4 linked regions of the Nothobranchius furzeri genome follow. The protein of the gene in region 1 interacts with the protein of each later gene in a pairwise test. Links are inferred from orthologs where the notes say so. Each region holds a gene or a part of one and is shown on either strand. Other genes may lie near its edges.

Region 1 (5,637 bases):
AGTACATGCCATTCTTTCAAGAAGATCTCTCCAGCAAGGAAAAGTCAGCCCGATGTTAACTCTGCTCTTTGCTCTTGCTCTATCGCGTTCTCTTTTTCTTTTCCTAGATTCCTCTGATAAGGTATTTCTAGCTTTCTTTGGTGGATTTGCCATTGCTCAAGTCTCTAAACCGTGGGTCTACCACAGACATTTGTAGATGTCCTTTGGACTGGTGCTGCCTACTGGAGCTGTCGTAGTGGCCGGCCGCCATTCGTCTCCATTGCATTCATTTCTACTGAAGATGTTTACCCATTTAAAAAAACACATTTTATCAAGCTTTTTCACATAATAAGACAAGAGGTATGACATCATAATTAAAATATAAATATAACCAAACAAAATAAATAGGTAGGCTAGAAAAGTATACGAATCCCACATGATCAGTTTTCAATTGTATGCCATGTGTAACCGTAGGCTGCACAAAAACGGGCATAGTTGCTCACTCTGTTGTAGTTGATTTCGAAGAGTGAGGAGACCCATCCAATATGGCGGCGGCACTGTTAACGCTCTCCAGCGCCCAATGGGGCATCTACGTATTCAGGTCTATGGACGTGATACTGCCATAAAACAACACACAGTCAGTACTTCTGGGGGTGGAAAGCCGGTCAAAACCTGTACAGTGCAGTAAACAGACGTGGGACCCCATAGCACTATCACAGCTCCAAAATGAACATATCATAGAATGCCACCAAAAGCTTTCAAAAATATTATTTTAAAGTGTAAATGTTGCAGATTGTGTCTTTAAGCTAAGGATTTCCTACACATTACTGCTGAGTTTAGATCATTTGGGTTATTAACATGGCAGTAATTTAATTCAATTAAATTTCAATTCAAGTTTATTTATATAGCGCCAAATCACGACAAGAGTCATCTCGAGGCACTTCACATAATAAACATTCCAATACAGGCCAGTTCAGTAAGCCAATCAGTAAAAAGTTTCCTATATAAGGAACTCAGCAAATCGCATCAAGCAATCCTCATACTAAGCAAGCATTTAGCCAGAGTGGAGAGGAAAACTCCCTTTTAACAGGAAGAAACCTCCAGAGGATCCTGGCTCAGTAAATTTTGGCATTTTTTTTGTATTTCTTACACAGAATCTTCTCCTCCAATCTGAAAGAGCGAATGGCTCAGAGGTTTTATAACTTGGTGCTGCTGCCTCGAGTGCGGGACGACATTGCAGAATACAAACGACTAAACTTCCATCTTTACAGCGCCATGAAGAAGGCTTTGTTCAAACCAGGAGCGTGGTTTAAAGGTAGGACTCATACTATTAATCTAATGCATCTGCAGCACATTTAAATTTTTTGCTGAATTTGATGTGTTCCCTTTTAACTGAACATATTTGAGCTAAATCATGACAGTGAAATCAGCGATTCTTTCAGACTGAGTTTGAGAAAAGTACTTTTATTTGAGTACTCGCTGATATGAAGTACCAATACAAGTAGTTATAAATGTCAATATACTCCATAAAATGTACTTATAAACTGTTTATTTTCATGAGGCAAATACAGATGAGGCACTGGTATTGTGTCCTGTAGTGTCGGAGTTTATGAGTGGGAGTACATGCACGTGGTATCGGCCTGATAATCCGATGCCAGTATCAACACCAGTGCATTCCTGAATAAATTATTCCTCACCACATTTTTGATGAAGTAGAGGACACACCCTGAATGGTCTTTAAAGGGAAATTGTTCAACTTTTTCATATTTTTAAATAATTTTCTTGAGCCAGCATGTGCTAAAATGACCGTTTACGGGGTTAATGAGAAGTCACCCAGACGCCACCGCTCCTGTGGCCAGAATATTGCACTTGCAACTTCAAAGTGGTGGGCCGCCACCTGTTGGACTTAAAAATAATAGAGTTGACATGCCTGGTGCTAGGCTGGACCGATTCCTGATCAAAGAAGAGATATTAAATGACAGTTAGTATGGTTTTAGAACAAATCATTCAACATCCATGGCATTAATGGAATTAACAGAAGAAATATCGGAAGCCATTGACAAAAAACTCATCTCATAAGTATCTTTATTGATTTAACAAAAGCATTCGATACAGTGGATCATAAAATTCTTATTAAAAAACTTAGTAAATATGGCATCACAGGGATGGCCCTAAAATGGATAAGTTATCGACGGTGGCACAGGAGTTAAGTGCTCGCCCCGTAATCGGAAGGTTGCAGGTTCGAGCCCCACTCAGTCTGTCGCTGTCGTTGTGTCCTTGGGCAAGACACTTAACCCACGTTGCCTGCTGATGGAGGTCGGAGGGACTGGTGGCGCCAGTGCTCGGCAGCCTCGCCTCTGTCAGTGCGCCCCAGGGCAGCTGTGGTTACACCGTAGCTCATCCCCACCAGCGTGTGAATGTGTGTGTGAATGAGTGAATGACTGATTGTGTTGTAAAGCGCCTTGGGGGGTTCCAGGACTCTAGAAGGCGCTATATCAAATACAGGCCATTTACCATTTACCGATAGGCAGCAATATGTTCAAATAAACAACACAAAATCACATATAAATAACATTACTTGTGGTGTACCACAAGGGTCGGTATTGGGCCCTAAACTATTTATCATTTATATAAATGACATTGTTGAGGTATCCAATATATTAAAATGCACCTTATTTGCAGATGATATAACTTTTTATTATTCAGGAGATAATGTTGAGCAGATGATAGAAGTGATACAAACGGAGATGAAAAAAATTAAACTATGGTTTGATGGGAACAAGCTATCATTAAAGAGTGATAAATCATGTTTTATGATATTTAGTAATACATACATTCAAATGATGACATTTTATTAAATATAGATGAGATTAATATTAAAAGAGTTAAAGAAGTCAAGTATCTGGGAGTCATCATTGATGAAAAAATGTCTTGGAAACTACATATAAACAATGTCAAAACTAAAATATCTAAAACCATTGCACTGTTACATAGAGCAAAATGGTTACTTGATAATAATTCCCTATATTTGTTATATAACTCACTGATCATACCGTACCTGAACTACTGCATTGAAATCTGGGGAACAACATAAAAAATTTACACAAATTCCATTTACATCTTACAGAAAAAAGCAATAAGAATAATCACAAGGAGCAACTACAGAGATCCGTCCAATCCATTATTTATAAAAATTAAAAACACTAAAATTCTATGATCTGGTGGACTACAATATTTTAAAATTTTATGTATAATGCAAACAAAGGGTACATACCTGCAGGATTAATCAAAAGATTTACAAAAAGACATAGCAAATGATTTAAAAGGACACGACTTATTTAATATACCTAGACATCGGATACTCATAAAGGAACATTGTGTGTCCATATATGGAGTTAAAATGTGGAATAAATTAAATACTGAAATCAAGAATGCAAAAACAATATTGACTTTCAAAAAAGAGATAAAAAATGAAATGATTAACTTATATAGATCTGTTACATAAACGCGTGAGGGGAGGGGGGTTGGGGGGGTGAAAGAAAGAAAAAAGGGTAAAAAGGGAACAAGTGTATGTATGCATATGTGTATATGTAAGTATATATGTATATAACTTTATGCTTCTTTCTGTGTAACTTGTTTTCTCTTTTTTTTTCAATTAATGGGTTGAGGTTGTGTCGGCCAACCAGTCCAGAAACTATATTGTTCAAATTTTTTAAGAATCATATGATTGTCGTTGTCGTCTTCCTCCGCTTATCCGGGTCCGGTTCACGGGGGCAGCATCCCAACTAGGGAGCTCCAGACCATCCTCTCCCCGGCCTCCTCCACCAGCTCCTCCGGCAGGAACCCAAGGCGTTCCCGGACCAGATTGGAGATGTAACCTCTCCAACGTGTCCTGGGTCGACCCGAGGGCCTCCTGCCGGCAGGACATGCCTGAAACACCTCCCCAGGGAGGCGTCCAGGAGGCATCCTGACCAGATGCCCAAACCACCTCAACTGACTCCTTTCGATCCGGAGGAGCAGCGGTTCTACTCCGAGTCCCTCCCGAATGTCCGAGCTCCTCACCCTATCTCTAAGGCTGAGCCCGGCCACCCTACGGAGGAAACTCATTTCGGCCGCTTGTATTCGCGATCTTGTTCTTTCGGTCATTACCAAAGCTCAAGACCATAGGTGAGGATTGGGACGTAGATCGACCGGTAAATCGAGAACCTTATTTTAGTTAAAAGGGGCAGATAACATAAGTTTTTCTTCTTTCCGTCCACTTTTTCATTTTGGCTTTTAGCAATTTAGTTTTGTATTTTTATTTTAATTTCAATAAATGAAAATAAAGTTGAAAAAAAAAGTCACGTGGTTTGTGAGATCATCTTTACAGCAGGAGAAAAATCCAAACCGCCCCCTCAAATTCTCAGTGAAAACATCGAGATACAAAAGCTTTTGAAAAGATTCTTTCAAATCCATCAGTGCTTTTATTTATATTTTCCAACTTTGGCACACAGCTGCCAGGCCTGTAAACAGAAAGCACCATGTTTGGTTTTACGAATACTGGACCAGGATCCAGTTTCATGTGACCTTTGGAAGAAACAAGCGTGTGAAGAAGATGAATGAGAGGATTTTGTGTCTTATGTTTCAAAGCAGAAATATCAGGCTGCAGGGGACCTGACACAGTTGTGACTTTTGTACATGATTTATTATTTTTATACTGAGGATGCTAATGGAGGATTAGCTGCTGTCTGTTGAAGGAGTGACACCATTTTTCTGGCTGGATAAAAGTGTTAATTAATAGGTCAAATTAAGCTTTATATGTGGAATCAGATGTTTAAAAACATTCTTTTGATTTCATTTGTTTGAAAACACAAATCCCTGCAGTTTGAAGGGAACATTCTCCTGTTCTCTACCCTTTTATTCTACCCTTTCTCAGTGGCCTAGTGGTAGAGTGTCCGCCCTGAGACTGGGAGATCAGGGGTTCGATTCCTGGTCGGGTCATACCAAAGACTTTGAAAAAATGGGACCCAATGCCTCCCTGCTTGACACTCAGCATTAAGGGGTTGGATTGGGGGGTTAAACCACCAAATAGTTCCAGAGTGCAGCTGTGTCTGCAGCTCCCCCAGGGGATGGGTCAAATGCGGAGAACAAATTTCGCACACACACCTGTGTGTGTGACATCTAATGGGACTTTAACTTTTAACTTTAACAATCCATGACCTGAATTCAAAATAACTTCAGTTTGAGCCTTAAACACTAGGTGGCAGTGTTGCTCTAAGATCCATCATACTGGGAACTAGTGATGGGTGTTTTTCCATCCACAGTTCAGACTAATAAATGGTGGTAGATGATAAACTAACTCCAGTTCTCACCCACTACAGCTTCCATCCTACTGACTGAAACATTTGACACAGATCTTAAAGGATAACTAGACATGCGTGTATGTTAAACACCTTTAATGAAGCTTGAGCCATAATTAATGTATTGTTTCAAACTCAAGCTCCAGCAGAAGGTTTGTTGTTTATTAAAATACCTGTAAGAGTTTTATCTGAAATCCTCTGACCTGTAGATCACTTTGACATTGAAATCAAAATGGTAAAGATCTCTTTAAGCTTCAGTAAATCAATCTTGGTCATATCAAAGCAAATTTAATGAAACTTTCACAATGTGATTTCTGTG
Region 2 (6,286 bases), on another chromosome or scaffold:
GTCTGGCTTGCCAGGCTAACAGGGAAGTACTTTATCGAGCCTTTCTGTGTATACAGGTTCAAACAAGAGTCCCCAGTGAATGTTTTCTGTTTTCTGTTACATTGTACTTCACAATAAGGTTACTTTCCAATGTAGACGCTACCATGAAACTGATCTGTGTACTGTGAAGCTGTCTCGTTTGTGTGCAGGGATTAGATATTCTGGATTTAAGAGGCCGTTGTCTAAGAGTGATCATGGATTTACAGATCGATACGCTGACTCGAGCTCATTTGATATGATTCACACCTGGAAAACATTTAAAACTTTCACTGGGCTAAAACAAAGCCTGTTACATACTTGACCAGCTACAACAACCACTCTGCACTCTCCAACTGAAGGTCACAACCTCAACCTGTTGTTGCCTTTAGATTAAAAATAAAATACGAATGCAACCAAAACCCTGACAGCAGACTGACAAATGTGTTTACTTTTGCTCTTCACTTTGCAATCCAGATGTATCCATTTACACACACATACTCACACACTGTTTACTGCACATTCCCACACAGTCAAAGACACCTGGGAACATGTAGGACTCGTCGCAGCTGGAAGGCGCTGCAGCATGTGGACCATGACCTGATTTGTAGTTGAATGCTCTAAATCAGAAAAGATGAGAGCTGTTTATGATCAGACACGAGGAACGAGAGCACAGATGAATCTTTTGTGGCTAACACTGCAGCTTTTGCCTCATGTCCTCCTCTTTCACATCAAATTATTTTATAAATCTGATGTATTAGATGATGTATATTTTTTTAATACCACATCAGCTTTGCTTTCATCGCATTGGCTGAAAGAGCTCTCATTTAATACAGGTGATAAATTAAAGTATCGCCTAAAGCCATCAATCATTCAAAGTATAGATAAAATATTTGAGTTATAAAGGAAAATAAATAAACAAAGAATAACAGCAACCAAGCAATGAGGCATGGAGGAATTTTGTCCGACAGTTTTTTTTTTTACTGAATTGAGTTATTTCAGCCTTAGTCGTGCTGGTTTTCCAGCAGGTTTAAGTTCAAAGATCAGATATTTGTATTTATTTATTTATTTTTAATGTATTTATTTCATTGAAAATAAAAACAAATAAAACGTATAAACAATAAGATATACACAACAACAAAAAATCAAATTTGAATGAAAAGGAGCATGAATGAAGACAAACATCTCATAATTTATGCCCCCTTTTCCAGAATCTATTTACATACAATACAATATATAATTTCCATTTGTCAGATACACATAAAGATTCATTTTAAACTTTTTCCTGCTCTTAATTCCAGAGCGATCATGATCATTGATTTAATTTATATTTTCATAATTATTTAGTACACTCAATTTGGTACATTTTTTGAATATATTAAATGACAGTTTTTTCTATTTCCCTTTTAAGGTTATTCTCCTAAAGCGAGCTATTGCTTAAGCATCATAAAAAATATCTGTGGCTCATTTTATAATGGAGAATGTGTCTTCATCTTGAATCTGGTTTTCTTTTGCAAATCATAATGCATTTCCCATTTACGGACCACATATAACCCATCTGCTGTCTGAGGAGCATTCATTGTAGATTGTAGATCACTCTGATTTTATGGGAGTTTCTATATCTGGTAAGAGATCTGTTTTTACCGCACCTATAATAAATTATTTGACAGAATATTGAAAGAAGCTTAAATGAAAAAAGATAATATTTTAAATTTGATTATATTTCTTAATACTATCAGCATTAGGCGGAGATGAAGTACAGTTATATTATTTAATATGTATTATTACTAGTTGCTATTTTTTGTCCTGTGTTATGTTAAAGAACCTGAACATTATGAAACTTGCACTCAATTTATTCAACTTCTTTGCAGTGGTTTAACTGTGGCGTGTGAGTGTGTTAATAAATAGATGGCAAAACAAGAGATGCTCCAACAGAACTAGAAAGTGGTGAAAAGTTGCACAAGATAAAAAAAATTACATAACCCAAATGTTACATAATTCATAGAAAAATAAAGCACAAAAGGTGTTCCAAAATCAAGTTATAAAATCTTGTATGACTGTTATTTATTTTTCAGACTTGTTTCTGACATGCTTTGCATCCAGCTTAACAGATATGTAGCAGAAAGCAGATTTTCTTTTTATTTTATTGATAATGAATTAGGATCTGTGAGGGCGCCTAAATCAAGCGCTGTTTGTGGACTTTAATGCGCATCTTCCGCAGTTATGAAACTTTGCAGCGCAGGTTTTGTAACCGAAACGTCCTGACCAATCACGAGACGCGTTTGTGATCACGTGACCAGGTGTTCTTTTTTTTTTTACATAACAATCGAGTATCTTTGACAAAACCCGTCAGACTAGAGGACCGGGGCACTACAGAGATGTATAAACATATCGATAGAAGAAAAGCTGGACGTAAATAGCGTCTCATAAACATTTCAATGTCATAATGTCGCTAAAACAGTATGTGGCGGACACACCGGAGGAGAGGAGCGCCTTCTTTATCGGCGCTGACGGGGACAATAATGTCTCTGAAGCGGAGGACGGCCACCGTGAACTTATACTTCAGAAAGGCAACGCTTTAGCATCCGAGGACTGCCTAAAGGAGGCTATTGACTGGTTCTCCGCGGCGATGCGCTACGGCCCTGTGCGTCCGGAGCAGCTAAGCACTTTTGTGGATTGTATCCTCCGCAACTTCAAGAGGAAAGCGGCCGGGTCAGATGCCTCCACGGGCCGGAGTCGAGACTCCGAGTCGGGAGGTGTGGACGCGTTGTTGGACTGTCCCAGCTGTCTCTGCTTCCTGGACGAGCCTGTCACCCTAGCCTGTGGACACTCGTACTGTAGAAGGTGTTTACGTAGACGGCTCGTCCTCAAATGTAAGCTGTGCGGCGAAGCCGTCGCCGGCAAGGAGAAAGTGAACGTAACCCTATGTGGACTTTTAGAGAAATGGTTTCCCGGCGAGCTGAAAGAGTGGAAAAAATTACGCGAAGTGGATTCTCTGTGTAAAAGAAAACGCTACAGAGAAGCTGTGTCGCTAGCTAGCGAAGTTCTGCACTCAGGTGAGTGTCATCATCTCTCATCACACCGGTGTTGAACAGAAAAAGGTGTGTCTGCGGCGCACCGTCAGCTAGCAACAGGAACATTTAGGAGGTAAAGCTGAGTTGTAACTACTAGAACAGGAGAATGTTTGGTTCAGTAAAATCTCTGGTGTCCGTGGGCCTAGAGGGAGAAGTTCAGCGAGTTCTTCTGACCAATATTTTGAAAACCATGTGTTGTGACTGTCAGCCTCCTGCATGGCCCGGCTTACGAAATTCGACCGTCTGCGCATGCGCACCCAAGTTGCATAAGTCAGGGTCGTGACACTTTTGTAGGTTTTGTAACTTGCAAAACCGGAAGGGCATTTTATGTTGTAATTTTCCAGCTGTTGCGGACCACGCTTTCATAAATACGGAGCATACCTGAATTAAAAGTCCAGTTAGCATGAAACCCTAGTCCACACAAACGCTTCTGTAACATTATGTAATGGTAAGAATAATCCAGGCCCAGTTTGTGTCTGGGTACAGTTCAAAACATCTAGTGGGAGATATATTTTTCTAGAAAACATGACTGAAGTGAAACTATTAATTTACAAAATACAGTACATTCAAAAATATGACTGCTCAGCTCTGAAAAGTAACTTGTCAAGCAAGAGAATAAAAATACAAGTTTTGATGTATTTTTAGATCAATGCAATCTAATTCAAAAATTTGCATTGGAAAAAAAAGTTTGTTTTCTTAATTAATCTAAGTAACAAACAGCTGTGCACAAACAAGCACTTGTATTTAATGCTGCTCTGATCATTTTTGCATTATAGTGTGACATAAAGATTGAGATTTGTTTACTGGCAGGGGTGAAAATCCCTCATCATTGTTGGGGGAGGGGGGGGGGGCATTAGACAGTAAACATTTCAGGAGTAATTCCTGAGGGGGGCATTAAAAAAAGCTTTTTTTCCCCATGTGCTGATGTGTCTTAAATGTCTCATATAGTATTAAATAATAGCTGTTGTTCTTTATTAGTCCATATATAGTCCAGAACTGTCTACAGGTTTTTGGATGCTCTACCAATAATACTAGGAGTAGTAATACTAGGAAAGGAAGATGTCAGTTGGGTGTCTGAGTGCTGCTGCTGGTAGAAGGCTGCTCATCATGACCTGCTGTGTCCCTGTCCCCTGTGCAGTCATATGATGCTCTGCTTGGTCCTTCCACCAGTGACCCTGATTCTGAACAGTCTGCCTCCTAAAATAGACAAGTTGTTTTCCAAGCTCAAACCCGCAACTACACAAAACACACATCATTAGTTTAAGTAGTCTAAAGACAGAATTCTCCTTATTTCATGACACGAACCAAAATCTCAAACTCACTTCAGGCTGTGTGTCTCTGCTTGACTGGCTCCATATAGTTTGATCCAGTGGAGTGCCAAATTAGTGGCATGAATAACACTGTAATAACATCGTAATAACCCTATGTTAGTTCTCAGATGTGTATCCCTCAATACCTTTTTAGTCAGGTGGACTCTCGTTCACTGGTCTGTGATATAGTAATACCATTAAATAAATAAAGGGATTGCAGCGCAATGGAAGGAGAACTGTGTCAGAGAAAGAGAAACAAAGTCAGAATAGGAGAGACAGAGTCAGAGAGAGGTGTCTGTTCGGACTAGAACTCTCTCCCGCCGGATCAGGCTGTACACTCTGTCCCCCCTTCACTCCCTCCACTATGGGAGGTGTAACCCTACAGAGGGAAGAAAGAAAGGAGAAGAGTTGGAATGGGAACCATCTTTTCACAAGTGAAAAAGAATGGGTACCATCTAGTGTTCAAAGGATTGTGAATCACGTTTGTTTTTCGACATTCTGGGTAAATTGTGGCGTCAGGATTGGGGTATTCTGGTAAGTCAATATCCTGGAATTGTAAAGAGCCCGTTCTTCCGAAGGCACTGGCTAGTGCTAATGATACCATTATTAAACATATCCAAAACATACCATTTGTTTATATTGATATTAATAACAAATTGCCTTAATATTATTCAAATCGTTCAACTTACTTGGCATTTTGGTGAACTGAAAAATGACCTGATGTCTTTAATTTGTCGTTTCTCTGCCATTTTGACCTGACTAGAAGCTGCCAGACCATTGGACAATAACAAGAACACAGGTTTTAGATTTAGAGGAGGTTCAGTACCCAGCTGATAATGTTTATTTGGCCTACATTTAGCTTTTCCTGCTGTAAAAGAACACTATTTTTGCATGAATGTGTACGTAACAAGTCCAGAACACTGTGAACTTACTAAAAAGATGTTTGACTTAAAAATTGATATAATTAGAGGAAAATATGGAGTGGAAACTACCAGTCGGAACGTTACAAAAGGAATATCTGTTGAACGGAATATCTAAGTCAAAGGTAAAGTCAAAGGTTTAAAAAAAAAGACAAAATCTGAAATAGAAAATTAGATTGTAAGTAATAATATCCAACATGAATGTAAAAATCTGGACAATATCTGACTACAGAAATGTAAAATCAAAGTGAAACAAGTTAGTCTAATATTTGTGACATTAATGAGAGGATGATGGCAGTATGTCAGCTGTCTATCCTCTCTTGCTGTCTGTTCTTTATATACATATCTGTCTTTCTCTTTTTGTTCTCTCTCCTTTCTCTTTAACCCAGCGTTAATATAAATACACCATGCTGCTTAAGCTAACAATATGTTAAGCGTGCCAGACTTCACACAAAGGAGCTGAGCTGTAGCTTTATGTGTATTGTGTTGTGCTTGTTAAACAAGTGTAGTGACCAATAACCTTTTTTTTTTCCCATTAAAAGCACGACTGAATGCGTAAAAAAATTCACCTGGCAACTATTTACATGTCGCTCTGCTCTTCTCTGCACCTCACAGCGCGCTCTGGGTGCGAGCAGCAGCAGCCCCTCTCATTGGAGAAAACAGATTAGACGGAACCACTGAGGATTAGGCGGTGTGTGTGTGTGTGTGTGTGTGTGTGTGTGTGTAAATATTTCACTTCTTATAACTCTTTGTGTTTTTAAGTAGCACAACTTGTATTGTGCGTTCAACAAAAATGAACATATTATTAAAACAAAAAACATTTGGGAGTTTTTTGGGGGGGGGGCATTTATCTCAGAAGGGGACATGTCCCCACTGTCCCCCCCCCCCAGGATTTTTGCCTATGTTTACTGGTGAAAATTCGTAATTAAAAGGACAACACATCAGAAGTCACACATGACATCATCAC
Region 3 (6,315 bases), on another chromosome or scaffold:
GACGACCTGATTTAGCTTCTTCACTCAGAAAAGGCCATTACCCATTCACCGATGTCCTGGTTCAATGTTGGCCAGTAATAGCCAGCAACAACCCTGTTTCGGGTACCTCTGACACCATTGTGGTTCCAGGGTTATTGTGGCATTCCATCCAAACAGACTTCTTCTCCTCCTCTGACATGACTACCAGGCGCATGCTCTGCATACTGGGGCCAGTGTAGAAGAGTCTGCTGTGTGGAACAAGATAAAAATGAAAAAAAGATGAGAGTTGCTGACTAAAGTAAAATGAAATGTCTGACAGATATTAAAGTTTGAGATTGCACCAATATAGTAGCCTAGTGAACTAGACCAAATTCTTGCTTTGCAAAGAACGGTCTAGGCACGCTCCATTGGAACCTCCGCAGCTCCTACCAGGACTCTGGCTGGCCAATCACAGCTCTCTAGAGGGGTTTCAAACACAAAAAGAGCTGTGATTGGTCCATAATGGTGGGCCAATCATAGTGCTCTATCTGCTTAGTGAATGAATCACAGAGCTTTATCCGCTTTGTGGGCCAATCAGGGCACTCTATATGCCTGGTGGGTGGGATGATGCAACAGAGTGAAACAAGAGTATGTCACATTCATTGTCCAGTAGCATGCGGAGATCATTTGAAAGACAACGGTAGAACCCGCCCCACAACCGAGAGCTGTCTATGGAGCATGGCCAGACTAAATAATACATTTATTTAGTCTGGCTTGCCAGGCTAGCAATATGGTACATTTACCTCCAATTGCAATTATCTTTAAAAATGTATGTAGGCTATATCAGAATCAGAAATAATTTTATTGCCAGCGCTCCAGCGAACCAGAGCATAGGAACTTGACTCCACAGAACAGCCTGACCAAGATTACACACACACACACACACACACACACATATAGACAAAACAGATACAGTCCTGAATGGACAGCTGAGAGAGACAGATGACATTCCACACCTTCCAGGAATCGAGCATATATCCCGCTGCGTGTGTCCCGTGAGGGCAAGTGGGAGCCCCCTCCTCCGTTCTCATCGTAGAAAAAATCTTATCAATCACGTTGAATGACCAATTAATTAAATCCATTTCTGAAAAATAGTGATCTCCAGAGGAAATGCAGAGAAGCGCTCTGTAGTCAGACGGGACAAAAAGAGCCTTGGGAGAAAAAGATAAGGGAGCAAAGCAGAAGCGACTGTGCTCTGTGAGTGCCAGGAGAAGAAAAAATATATATGATATTGTATTTATGATTTTTTAAAATCTAAAATAAGCCCACACACCAAGATATAGATCTATACTGTATATAGAATTTCGATATTACAGACGATGCTGCACTGTATACACTGTACACTGATATTACTCGTTACACCCTCCTGAATCAACGCAGGCGTCATGCAACTTTAGAACACTAACGTTGAGTCCGTACCCTCAAGCAGCAAGGGCAGCTGTAGACCATGATAAAAGATCATCTTTAATTTTCGTACTTACCTTTAAGTCTGTAATTAGGCGCCATTCTTCCTATTTTACGGCGCTCTTGTTCAATCGCCGGAAGCTCTCCGTTGAGGAGAAAAGCATGCATTTCTGTGTATTCGGAGATATTACCCGTCAAAAGCAAACATCTGTATTTATTTTCCAAATGTTTCTGACATCTGTGCTTTTTGTGGTTGTAAGGGAGAAAATATTGAACATGTTTTTGTTGATTGCTTTCATGTAACTTTGTTTTGGTTCCATTTACAAAGATTCATTTCCAGAAAGTTAAAAAAATATTTCTTTAAGCAAATATGAAATACTTCTTATTGTTACTAACCCTCATTTATCATCCAATGAAAAATACATAATTAACTTAGTCATTATTTTAGCAAAATATTATTTACATAAAATGATTTTTCAGAAAAGTATCCCCTCCTTCTATAATTTCAGAATTACAGACCTTATGAAATATTGGAACAGCATTGAAAAATTAAAAAAGAAGAACAACAAACTAACAAAGACCATCAACTTATTTCATCATTTCAACTTAGACACAGCAGACCCCTAAGTGTTATGTTTCTACGTTATATATGTTTTCGTCACTATTTTGTTTATTTCTTGTTTTTTTTTTGTTTAATAGTTTCCTAATGTTGCATGTATGTTATTGCTATTGTAAACAACTGTAAAATGTGATCCATGGATATATTGAATGTATTTTCTGAATGTATCGACCACAAGTTAATAAAACCTTTTAAAAAATAAATAAAAAATAAATAAATTTATGTGTATTCGGAGGTTTAAACGTAACGCAGTCTGTAACTGTCGCAAAGTTGGCAAAGAGGAAGTGACGTAAAATTCGCGCATGCGTGTTACGGATCGGGTTTCCGGCACGGGCATCGCCGTCAGCGTGGAAAGACGTTACTTGTGTTTTATGTGAAAGGTCGCTGTCTCTAACAGATACACGGAGGTCGAGTTTTTATAAACATTAAATCAGTGTCAGCTGCTGAAGGAGACGTTTGTGATTCCAGCACAAAATGGTAAGAAGACCTTTTCCTGCTAAGCTAGCCGTGTTAGCTAACAGCAGCTAAGGTGGTGAGCATAACAACAAGTATGTAACAGCTAACGCTCGTTTATATGACTTTAATTCAGCTTTTCTAGATGAGCTGGTGGATGTCGATGACGATCTCAAGCGTGTTTGTTCCTTTTCCCTCCAGAAACATGAATGTTTTGCATAGATTTAGAAAACTTGTTCAGAAAGGAAAAGATGCCTTTTTGTTCACGTCCTCCTGCTCTCATTCAGACAGCAACTCCAGCTGTTATAAGCCATCTTAACTCGGTGGCGTTTATCTGATTTAACATGTTCTAACTAAATGTCGTCTAAATCTGTTCCAGCCTCATCGAAAGAAGAAATCATTCATCGAAAAGAAGAAAGCGGTGACCTTTCACCTGGTCCACAGGAGTCAGAGGGACCCTTTGGCTGCAGATGAAACAGCACCACAGCACGTCCTCCTGCCTGCCACTAAGGTCCAGCTGCAGAGAAAACCTTGTCAGATGTCCCCAAAGACCTGATGTGGTTCTAACAGGACCTTGTGTTTTTCAGGCAGAGGCAGAGAAGAGGCGTGAGGAGCAGAGACAGTTTGGTGTTTTCTTCGATGATGATTATGACTACCTGCAGCACCTGAAGGAGGCGTCGGGCCCCTCAGAGCTGGTCACAGCTGAACCCACGATTCACCGCCGACATGAAGAAGATGAGGAGTGTGAAAAGATTACAGACAAGAATGTTCCTGTGAGTCTCTGTTTAGCCTTACTTCAGCCCTGAAGGTCACGTGTAGGACGTTGTAGTTTAGAGAACGGCAGGTAGTGACCCAGTCGTGTATCTCTGACCATTCTGTTTCTTCCTAACCTTCATAAGAGCTTTATCAGAGGAGTTTCACGTTTTACATTTATTTTGGTTTTATTAACATTGATCAGCTGAGAGGGAGCTGTCAGCCATGTTTATTTACACACCTGAGTGATGCTGGCCGGTGTGATACAAGGACTGATCTAATCCTTGTTGTGCTTTCTGACCAGGAAGCTTCTATCCACCTGCCCTCTTCAGTGTTCGCCTCAGAGTTCGAGGAAGAGGTGGGACTTCTGAACAAAGCTGCACCTGTTTCAGGTAGAGCACCTCAGATCAGGGATGCTTTGATCTGGTCATGTGATCTGATTTCTGATCAGGATTCAAACAATCGGGTGGAAAAGATCAAGCATGAGATTTTCAAACAACGGCTTAGTTTTTATGTTAACAAGTTGCACTACATCAATATTCATGGTTTCATAGACCACACTGACACTGTAACGTCACACAGTTTATGGCAGGTAGGAGCTTGGACACCGTAACATGCACCTTCATCTCCTCACGCTTAGACTACTGTAACTCTCTTTTCACGTGTCTGAGCAGAACCTCCCTGAACCGTCTACAGTAATCCCTCGTTTATCGCGGTAGATGCGTTCCAGACCTGGCCGCGATAGGTGAAAATCCGCGAAGTAGGGACTCCCAGCATGCCCCTCGCGGGGATTCCCTCCACGTCGCACCTACGTCACAAACCGCGGCTATAAACGGAAGTCGCCTTTCCAGCTCACCACTCAGTCATCGTTTCTTCAGATTCATGATCAGTTTCCAACCTACCGATCAATCCAACGAACTATCAGCTCATAGTAAGTTATCTTACTTACTTCTGGAAAGCCCGGCATTTCCGTGTCACTTCGTTGACGCTCGAACGCTCGGGGGTTTCCTAGAGCAGCCGGCGTTTCACCGACGCTATCACTTCCGCGTCTGTGAAACCACGCTCCCTATTGAATTATCGTATGATCAGATTCTCTTTTTGGGGGTAAAACTCAAGAAAAAAATTTTTTTACTTGTTTTTTTTTTGTTTTATTACAAAAAGTGCATTTTATGATGAAATTGATGAAAAAAAACAAGAATTTCTTGATATTTCGCATAGAAAAATACCGCGAATCAGTGAAAAATACCGCGAATCTGCGAATTCCCCCTGAAAAATGCTCCAAAGAAAAAATCCGCGAAGCAGCGAATCCGCGATGAACGAACCGCGAAGTAGCGAGGGATTACTGTACAGGTGGTTCAGAACGCCTGTGCTCGGCTTCTGACCAAGTCCTCCAAACACACCCACATCACCCCGCTTCTCCTCCAGCTTCACTGGCTGCCAGTCAACTTCAGGGTTCATTTCAAGATCCTGGTTCTGGTCTATAGGGCCTTACATGGACAAGCACCATCTTACATTGGTGATCTTCTTAGTCCCTACACCCCCAGCAGGTCCCTGAGGTCCAGTGATCAAAGCTTACTGGTTGTGCAGCACCAGGCTAAAGGTCAAAGGTGACAGATCATCTGCTGCTGTGGCCCCCAGACTCTGGACCTCTCTCCCCCTGAGCCTGAGATCAGTGGACTCAGTGGTCTCCTTTAAACTCACCTGTTCAGGCTTGGTGGGACCTTCATCTCCCTCTCCTGGTTCTGCTCTTGTTCCTTTGAGAGTTCCTGAAAACGCCTCATCTGGCTGGGAGACGCATGCACGTCGGGAAGTTCCTGTAAATTTACCCTGATGCTCCGGTGGTGGAAACAGCTGATGTGTTGTTTCAGGACCCCGACTGGACATGGACCCAGATATCGTGGCAGCTCTGGATGAAGACTTTGACTTCAGCAACCCTGACAACATGCTAGAGGACGACTTCATCATCAGAGCCAACTGTGCAGCCGGAGGCTGGGTGTGAGTAAGTCCTAATGGTTCCGGGTTTAGCTGGTACCTGTGGTCTGAGTGGGAGAAGAAGACCACCACACATCTGCTGACTGACATGTGATGCTGTTATTGATCCTTAAATGTGTGTAAAATTCTGTCTGTGTCAAACATGTGACAGGGAAGGACGTGACGACGACGACGATGATGATGATGAGTGGGAGGACACGGACGATGGAGACTTTGACTCAGAAGGAGGATTTTCAGGAGATGAACACGCTGAAGGAGGTGGTGGAGAGTTGCTGTTCATGGACGAGGAGACGAAGAGTCGCTTCACAGAGTACTCCCTGTCTTCGTCTGTGATGAGGAGGAACCAGCAGCTCACCCTGCTGGACGAGCGCTTTGAAAAGGTGATGGTCCACCCAGAGTCAGTCTCTAGCACCAGTCCTAGAGGACAGGGCTGCGTAGAGCTCCCTTCACCGCTGCGCCAAGCCCGTGCACACATCACTAACGGTGTGGAAAACCCTTCTCTAAACACCTCAGGCTGCAGCCTACAACCTTACGACCCCTGCTTCACTGTTCATGTGTGACAATTTAGGAATTTCAGCCTGAATAGGGAGCCTAAGCCACGCCCATCTACTTCTGGACCACGGGTCCCAGAAGAACAAAAATGAATATAACGAATACAAACCTCAGATCACGTCACAGGTCTCTGCTAATGAACCCCACTTCCTGCTGTATGTTTCAGTTTTACCAGCAGTTTGACGATGACGAGATTGGCGCTCTGGACAACGCTGAGCTGGAAGGTTTCATCGCTCCAGACAGCGAGCGCTTGGAGGTGGTCATCAGAGATTACTTCACACAGAAAGCTAGAGTGTGAGATGCATTTCCATCCTTTCAGCTGGCTTTAGTTTTGGTTAGTGATGGGACTTAGGCCTCTTCGAAGGTGCAATTCATTCAGTGTGTGTGTGTGTGTGTGTGTAGGTGTGTGTGTGTGTGTGTGTGTGTGTGTGTGTGTCGAGAGGGGGGGGGGGGGGGGAATGATTCAACAGTTCTCTACAAGGACTCTGATCTCATGGTGCTTTCACATCTGGGCCAGCACGGAC
Region 4 (6,125 bases), on another chromosome or scaffold:
TGGAGGCCTACAGCTATGTTATTTCAGGTTGGCTTAACCATTTAGTGATCCAGAGAAGCTTTAAATGACCGTCGTATTGTTTTTGCTCAGGTAAGTAGTGAGGTGTGCTAACTGATTGTAATTCCTCAGCTCATGATAATAATGCTTCCGCTAACGTGGAGTAGGTTTATGTGCAAAGATCTACTTGTAAATAACTTTTTAAATCCAAATTGATTATACATTTGTTTGATTTAAATGAGGTATAAACACCACGTTACAAAGCTAAGCTACCTGCTAGCATTATCACTCTGAAAGATATTTGTGGTACAAATAAGTTGGGACACATGAAAACCGTATCAAAACTGTTTCCTGCCATTTTTATGGCATTTAGTCGACCCATAACCTTTCAGCGCCCCTTGTTCTTAAGCCTGATTCATGCTTCTCCGTCTGCGTCAGTGCGGAGACACGCAACGCCATTGTCCGTCCTTGCGGGCTTGCTGGAGAGCTCCGCAAGGACGGATGGAGTTGAGCTCTCTTTTCTAAACATCCGTCCATCGAAACGGATAACGCAAGCTTGTGATTGGTCAGGACGCAGCTGTCATCTACACCGCCGCCATTGCGCCCTCAAAAACATAAAGAGAGCCGAGGATAACTAGCGGCAGACACGGAGCAGCTTGAAGAATACCTCGCGAAAAAACTCTAAAAACATGAATTTTTAATTCCCCCGTGACTGGAGGAGTGAAAAGATACATAGCAAGCGATTTATTTGTGAACGGAAATGACAGGAAACGTGGGTTTAGAGGTGGCGAGTGCATGAAGAGGTGGAGGAGGATGAGAGACAAATTTGTCTGTGCTAAAAAGTCTCTTACATACAAAAAAAAAACAATATAAACACACTATCTTGGACCGGATACATGACAAGATACCACAGAACAGCGCTACGCCCTCTGTTGTCCTGGTGGGGAATTGCTTTGCAACACTCCCCAGGAGACGGAGAAGTATGAGGGCAAAACATCTCCGCCCGTGCGTGCGTGTCTCTCCCTTTTGGAGCTGACGGAGAAGCATGAATCAGGCTTTAGCCGGAGGTCCACTTCTGTCGTCCTCTTTCAGTAAGATTTTTTAAATTGGGTTTTTTGTGGCTCACTACTTTTGGGACACGAAAAAAAACATTTGTGCTTGTCATGACTAGAGTGATTACAACAACCGTAGATGGAACAGAGTTTGGGGATTTTGACGCCGAGTCAACAGAGTAATGCATTTGGTGACGTGGACGCTACGCCATGTGAGACCCAGTAATGGAGGCAATAGAGACCCACTTGGTTGCAGCAGTCAGACACTTGAGCTGACAAAGCAGCGCATTAGGGAATGAAAACAATTTTATTTATTTTTTAAGGGTGCAATTTGGCCAATGATATTTATAGCTGTGGGTAGGGCTGGGCGATACGGCCTAAAATCAATATCACGATATATTGAGGAGTTCACCATAATGGCGATAAATGGACGTTAACTACAGGTATGTGTAGAAACAAAAGTTGTCCACTAGATGGGGCTGTCACATGTATTACGTTGAGTCACATTTTTACGAGACTCGAGGTGGACATGAATGTTGCCAACCTGCACACATCTTTTCATTTTTTTATTATCAGATTTATTGACATGGGGACAATGATCTCGATAAGAGTCAGAAATTTCGATGATGATACATTTTCAATTTATTGCCCAGCCCTAGCTGTGGGTGTGTTTCGCTCATTTTCTGCCCCTCACTTACCCTCTTGTGCATGTGAGACATTCTGATTAGCCGGCTTCCTGCAACAGCGTAATGCATTTTATTGTAATGTGTACTTAAAAGTGCGACTTCTCTTTTAAAAAGAACGCTTGAATTTTTCTGATGGCTGAAACCTTTGCAGAGTTATGGTAAATCAAGTATACGTGTAAAATATTTAGGCTTTTGTCCGCCTTGTTAAACAACAGTGGGGGAAACTGTTGAAGCCAAATTCAAAATGACTCGAAGGACTTGAAGCCTGAATGCACCTCTCCTGACATCATCACAGGCAACAGTCATTCCGAGCTTGAGGTAAAAATAAAGAATTAAAGTTTTAATGGAGGATTACCTGTGGATTAGACAACAATAACAGAGAGGAGGACAAGGTTCATGTGTTCTTATCAGTTCTGTGGAAGTACAGCGTTGGCAGGGTAGGGACGGGACCAGGACAGAGGTGAGACAGCTGAGGAATAAATGAGAAAGCGACAGGATTACGGGACACCTGTGTGCCTCACTCACCTGGATCCTGTCCCAGGCTGAGCTCACCTGTGGGACAGGAACATGTTGGTCCTCTCCATGCTGGTTTTGCTCACACTCTACAGCCTCCTCAGGAGGAGCAACAACCAACTCAAAGGTAGCTCAGAGCATGGAGGTGATGCTAATGGACCAGGACAAAGTGGCGTGAAGGCTGTGAGGAAGAGGAAGGGGGTCCGTGTACGATGTGTCTCCTCATCCAGCAGGAGGCCAGTTGAGGTGAGGAGGTCAAGGTCTGGAAATATTCTGAGATTTTAAACATTTCTGCAAATCAGGATAGAAAAGGGGGTGTTAGACAGAAAATGGTCTTTGTCCTCAGAACTTCCATGAACCCTTGTGCAGCCTTACTTCTCAGTCTGGCCAGTTTGAAGTGAGCTGGTCCCAGTTCACAGCTGAGTTCTCCACTTAGTGACGGTGGCTCAAGGGTTAGGAGTTCGCCCTGTAGCCGGTTCAAACCCCAACTGCGTTTCGATCGTAGTTGTGTCCTTTGGCCGGACACTTCACCATAAGTGTCCAAATTCAAGAGCTGCATCAATCATGCCTAATCGGTCTGCGTAGCCTTGTCTTTTTGTTGAGCAAGTTTGCGCATGTGTGAGTATATTTTTAGCTGTTTTAATTTTATTTTTTCTGGTTTCCAGAACAAGTGATCTAGGCAGCTGGTTCTGTGCTGGGTTCTGCACGAAGGGCCATTTTAGTCTGAATTTTTTGAAGCCAACAAGGAGTGGCAAAAATTGCAGTTCCACCCTCATCTGCTAGGGGCTGGCACCAGAGCAGAGCAAGTTCCCGTTGACTCCCATGTAAAAAATGCTAATTTCACAGCAGAAATAAACATGTTTACAGCCTGGTTCAAAAAACATTTTAGGTTTAATAGATATGGGCCAAAGGGGTCGGGTGCAGTGTGTGACGGGTGGTAGTCGAGGGCGGGGACCTTGTCGGTCTGATCCTCGGCTACAGAAGCTCTTTGGTGGGGAAGGAGCCTGAGTTGGTGTGTGAGGTTGAGAGGTTCCAACTAGATATAGTCGGACTCACCTCAGCGCATGGCTCTGGCTCTGGAACCATTTTCCTTGAGAGGGGTTGGACTTTCTACCACACTGGAGTTGCTCCCACTGAGAGGCGCAGAGCAGGGGTGGGCATACTAGTTGCCCCCCCATCTTGGTGCCTGTACATTGAGGTTTACCCCTGTGAATGAGAGGATAGCCTCCCTCCGCCTACGTGTGGGGGGACGGGTTCTGACTGTGGTCTGTGCTTATGAACCAATCTACAGTTCAGACTACCCACCCTTTTTGGAGACCTTGGAGGGGGTGCTGGAAAGCGCTCGCTCCGGTGACGCCCTCGTTTTGCTGGGGGACTTAAACGCTCATGTGGGCAACGACAGTGAGACCTGAAGAGGTGTGGTTGGGAGGAACGGCCCCCCGATCTGAATTTGAGTGGTGTTTTGTTATTGGACTTCTGTGCCAGTCATGGATTGTCCATAATGAACACCATGTTCAGACATAAAGGTGTCCATATGTGCTCTTGGCAACAGGATACCTTAGGCCGCAGCTCGATGATCGACTTTGTTGTTGTTTCATCTGACCTGCGGCCGCATGTCTTGGACACTCGGGTGAAGAGAGGGGTGGAGCTGTCAACTGACCACTACCTGGTAGTGAGTTGGCTCAGTTGGTGGGGGAGGATGCCGGTCAGAGCAGGCAGGTCCAAACGCATCACGAGGGTTTGCTGGGAACGTCTGGCAGAGTCTCCTGTCAGAAGGAGCTTCAATTCCCACCTCCGACAGAACTTCCAAAATGTTCCGGGGGAGGCGGGGGACATTGAGTCTGAATGGACTCTGTTCCATACCTCCATTGTTGAGGCGGCCGACCAGAGCTGTGGTCGCAGGATCGTCGGTGCCTGTCGTGGTGGAAACCCCCGAATCCGCTGGTGGACACTGGCGGTTAGGGATGATGTCAAGCTGAAGAAAGAGTCCTATCAGGTCTTTTTGGCCTGTGGGACTCCAGAGGCAGCTGACGGGTACCGGCAGTCCAAGCGGAACGCAGCTCGGGTGGTCGCCAAGGCAAAAACCCAGACATGGGAGGAGTTTGGTGAGATCATGGAGCAAGACTTCCATACGGCTTCGATGAGATTGTGGTCCACCATCCGGCGCCTTGGGGGGAGAAGCAGTGCGCTACCAACAATATCTATAGTGGGGACGGTGTGCTGCTGACCTCTACTCAGGCAACACATTCTCACATCCAAGGTGTCAAAATATGACGCGTGTGACCAAGCCTCAATATATGACGATTCAGGACGCCCCAGCGCGTCAGGAGACGACGATCAGGGAGAAACTGCTGACGCAGCGTCCCAGAGCTCGGTATCCAACGCTGGTGCTGAGACGGACATTAGAACTACTTGTGAACTACTTAACCTTCCCCTCACCCCAATCCTAACCTTAAGGTCACAGTTTATGGACCTTAAGGTTAGGGTTAGGATTGGGGTGAGGGGAAGGTTAAATAGTTGAATAATGTCCGTATGACCGCCCGCGTCAAACAGTGACGCCAGCAGAGCCACGTGTCCTAGCGTGTCCCTGATCATCGTCTCCTGACGCGCTAGGGCATCCCGAATCGTCATATATTGAGGCCTGATCACACGCGTCATATTTTGACGCCTTGGGTGTGAGAATGTGTTGACTCAGGACGTTGTGGATCAGTGGGCAGAATACTTCGAAGACCTCCTCAATCCCACTGAAACGTCTTCCAGTGAGGAAGCAGAGTTTGAGGACTTTGGGTTGGCCTCTCAAATCTCTGGTCCTGAGGTCACTGAGGTGGTTAAAAAGCTCCTCTGTGGCAAGGCTCCAGGGGTGGATGAGATCCGCCCGGAGTTCCTTTAGGCTCTGGATGTTGTGGGGCTGTGTTAGCTGACGCGGCTCTGCAATATCGCGTGGACATCAGGGTCAGTCCCACTGGACTGGCAGACCGGGGTGGTGGTCCCCTTATTTATAAAGGGGGACCGCAGGGTGTGTTCCAACTTTAGGGGGATCACACTCCTGAGCCTTCCTGGTAAGGTCTATTCAGGGGTTCTGGAGAGGAGGGTCCGTCGGATTGTTGAACCTCAGATTCAGACGGAGCAATGTAGTTTTCGTCCTGGCCGTGGAACACTGGACCATTTCTATACCCTTAGGGGGATCCTGGAGGGTGCGTGGGGATTTGCCCAACCAGTCTACGTGTGTTTTGTGGATTTGGAGAAGGCGTTTGGCCACGTCCCTCGGGGGGCCTTGTGGTGGGTACTCCGGGAGTATGGGGTACCAGGCCCTCTGATATGGGCTGTTAGGTCCCTGTACGACCGGTGTCAGAGCTTGGTCCGCATTGCCAGCAGTAAGTCGGGCTCGTTCCCAGTGAGAGTTGGACTCCGCCAAGGCTGCCCTTTGTCACCAGTTCTGTTCATAACCTTTATTGACAGGATTTCTAGGCACAGCCAAGGTGTGGAGGGCATCCATTTTGGTGGCCTGGGGATCAGGTCTCTGCTTTTCGCAGATGATGTGGTCCTGTTGGTTTCATTAGAACGTGATCTTCAGCTTTCGCTGGAGTGGTTCGCAGCCGAGTGTGAAGCAGCTGGGATGAGAATCAGCTCCTCTAAATCTGAGACCATGGTCTTGATTCGGAAAAGGGTAGAACGCCTTCTCCGGGTCAGGGATGAGGTCCTGCCCCAAGAGGAGGAGTTTAAGTATCTCGGGGTCTTGTTCACAAGTGAGGGAAAACTGGAGCGTGAGATCGATAGGTGGATTGGTGCTGCATCTGCAGTGATGCGGGCGTTGTACCGGTCTGTCGTGGTGAAGAGAGAGCTCAGTCAGAAGGCGAAGCTCTCGATTTACAGGTCG

The links. The genes of interacting proteins can lie anywhere in the genome.
Region 2: the proteins of bysl (region 1) and lonrf1 interact in binary tests that used the Homo sapiens proteins (3 or more experiments, as listed by UniProt). The two-hybrid records come from large-scale screens. The link is inferred for Nothobranchius furzeri from reciprocal best matches to the Homo sapiens genes BYSL and LONRF1.
Region 3: the proteins of bysl (region 1) and ltv1 interact in binary tests that used the Homo sapiens proteins (3 or more experiments, as listed by UniProt). The two-hybrid records come from large-scale screens. The link is inferred for Nothobranchius furzeri from reciprocal best matches to the Homo sapiens genes BYSL and LTV1.
Region 4: the proteins of bysl (region 1) and kifc3 interact in binary tests that used the Homo sapiens proteins (3 or more experiments, as listed by UniProt). The link is inferred for Nothobranchius furzeri from reciprocal best matches to the Homo sapiens genes BYSL and KIFC3.

Annotation. Positions count from the first base shown.
Region 1 is NC_091743.1:46,641,617-46,647,253, reverse strand, and holds part of bysl (bystin), read left to right. Parts: intron 1-1,133; coding exon 1,134-1,294; intron 1,295-5,637. UniProt on the Homo sapiens protein: Required for processing of 20S pre-rRNA precursor and biogenesis of 40S ribosomal subunits. May be required for trophinin-dependent regulation of cell adhesion during implantation of human embryos.
Region 2 is NC_091746.1:77,573,157-77,579,442, reverse strand, and holds the start of lonrf1 (LON peptidase N-terminal domain and RING finger protein 1), read left to right. Parts: upstream 1-2,328; 5' UTR 2,329-2,461; coding exon 2,462-3,071; intron 3,072-6,286.
Region 3 is NC_091747.1:66,351,883-66,358,197, forward strand, and holds the start of ltv1 (protein LTV1 homolog), read left to right. Parts: upstream 1-2,357; 5' UTR 2,358-2,515; coding exon 2,516-2,518; intron 2,519-2,873; coding exon 2,874-3,005; intron 3,006-3,081; coding exon 3,082-3,267; intron 3,268-3,551; coding exon 3,552-3,639; intron 3,640-5,115; coding exon 5,116-5,242; intron 5,243-5,390; coding exon 5,391-5,619; intron 5,620-5,957; coding exon 5,958-6,085; intron 6,086-6,315. UniProt on the Homo sapiens protein: Essential for ribosome biogenesis.
Region 4 is NC_091749.1:65,918,673-65,924,797, forward strand, and holds the start of kifc3 (kinesin-like protein KIFC3), read left to right. Parts: upstream 1-2,167; 5' UTR 2,168-2,302; coding exon 2,303-2,494; intron 2,495-6,125. UniProt on the Homo sapiens protein: Minus-end microtubule-dependent motor protein. Involved in apically targeted transport. Required for zonula adherens maintenance.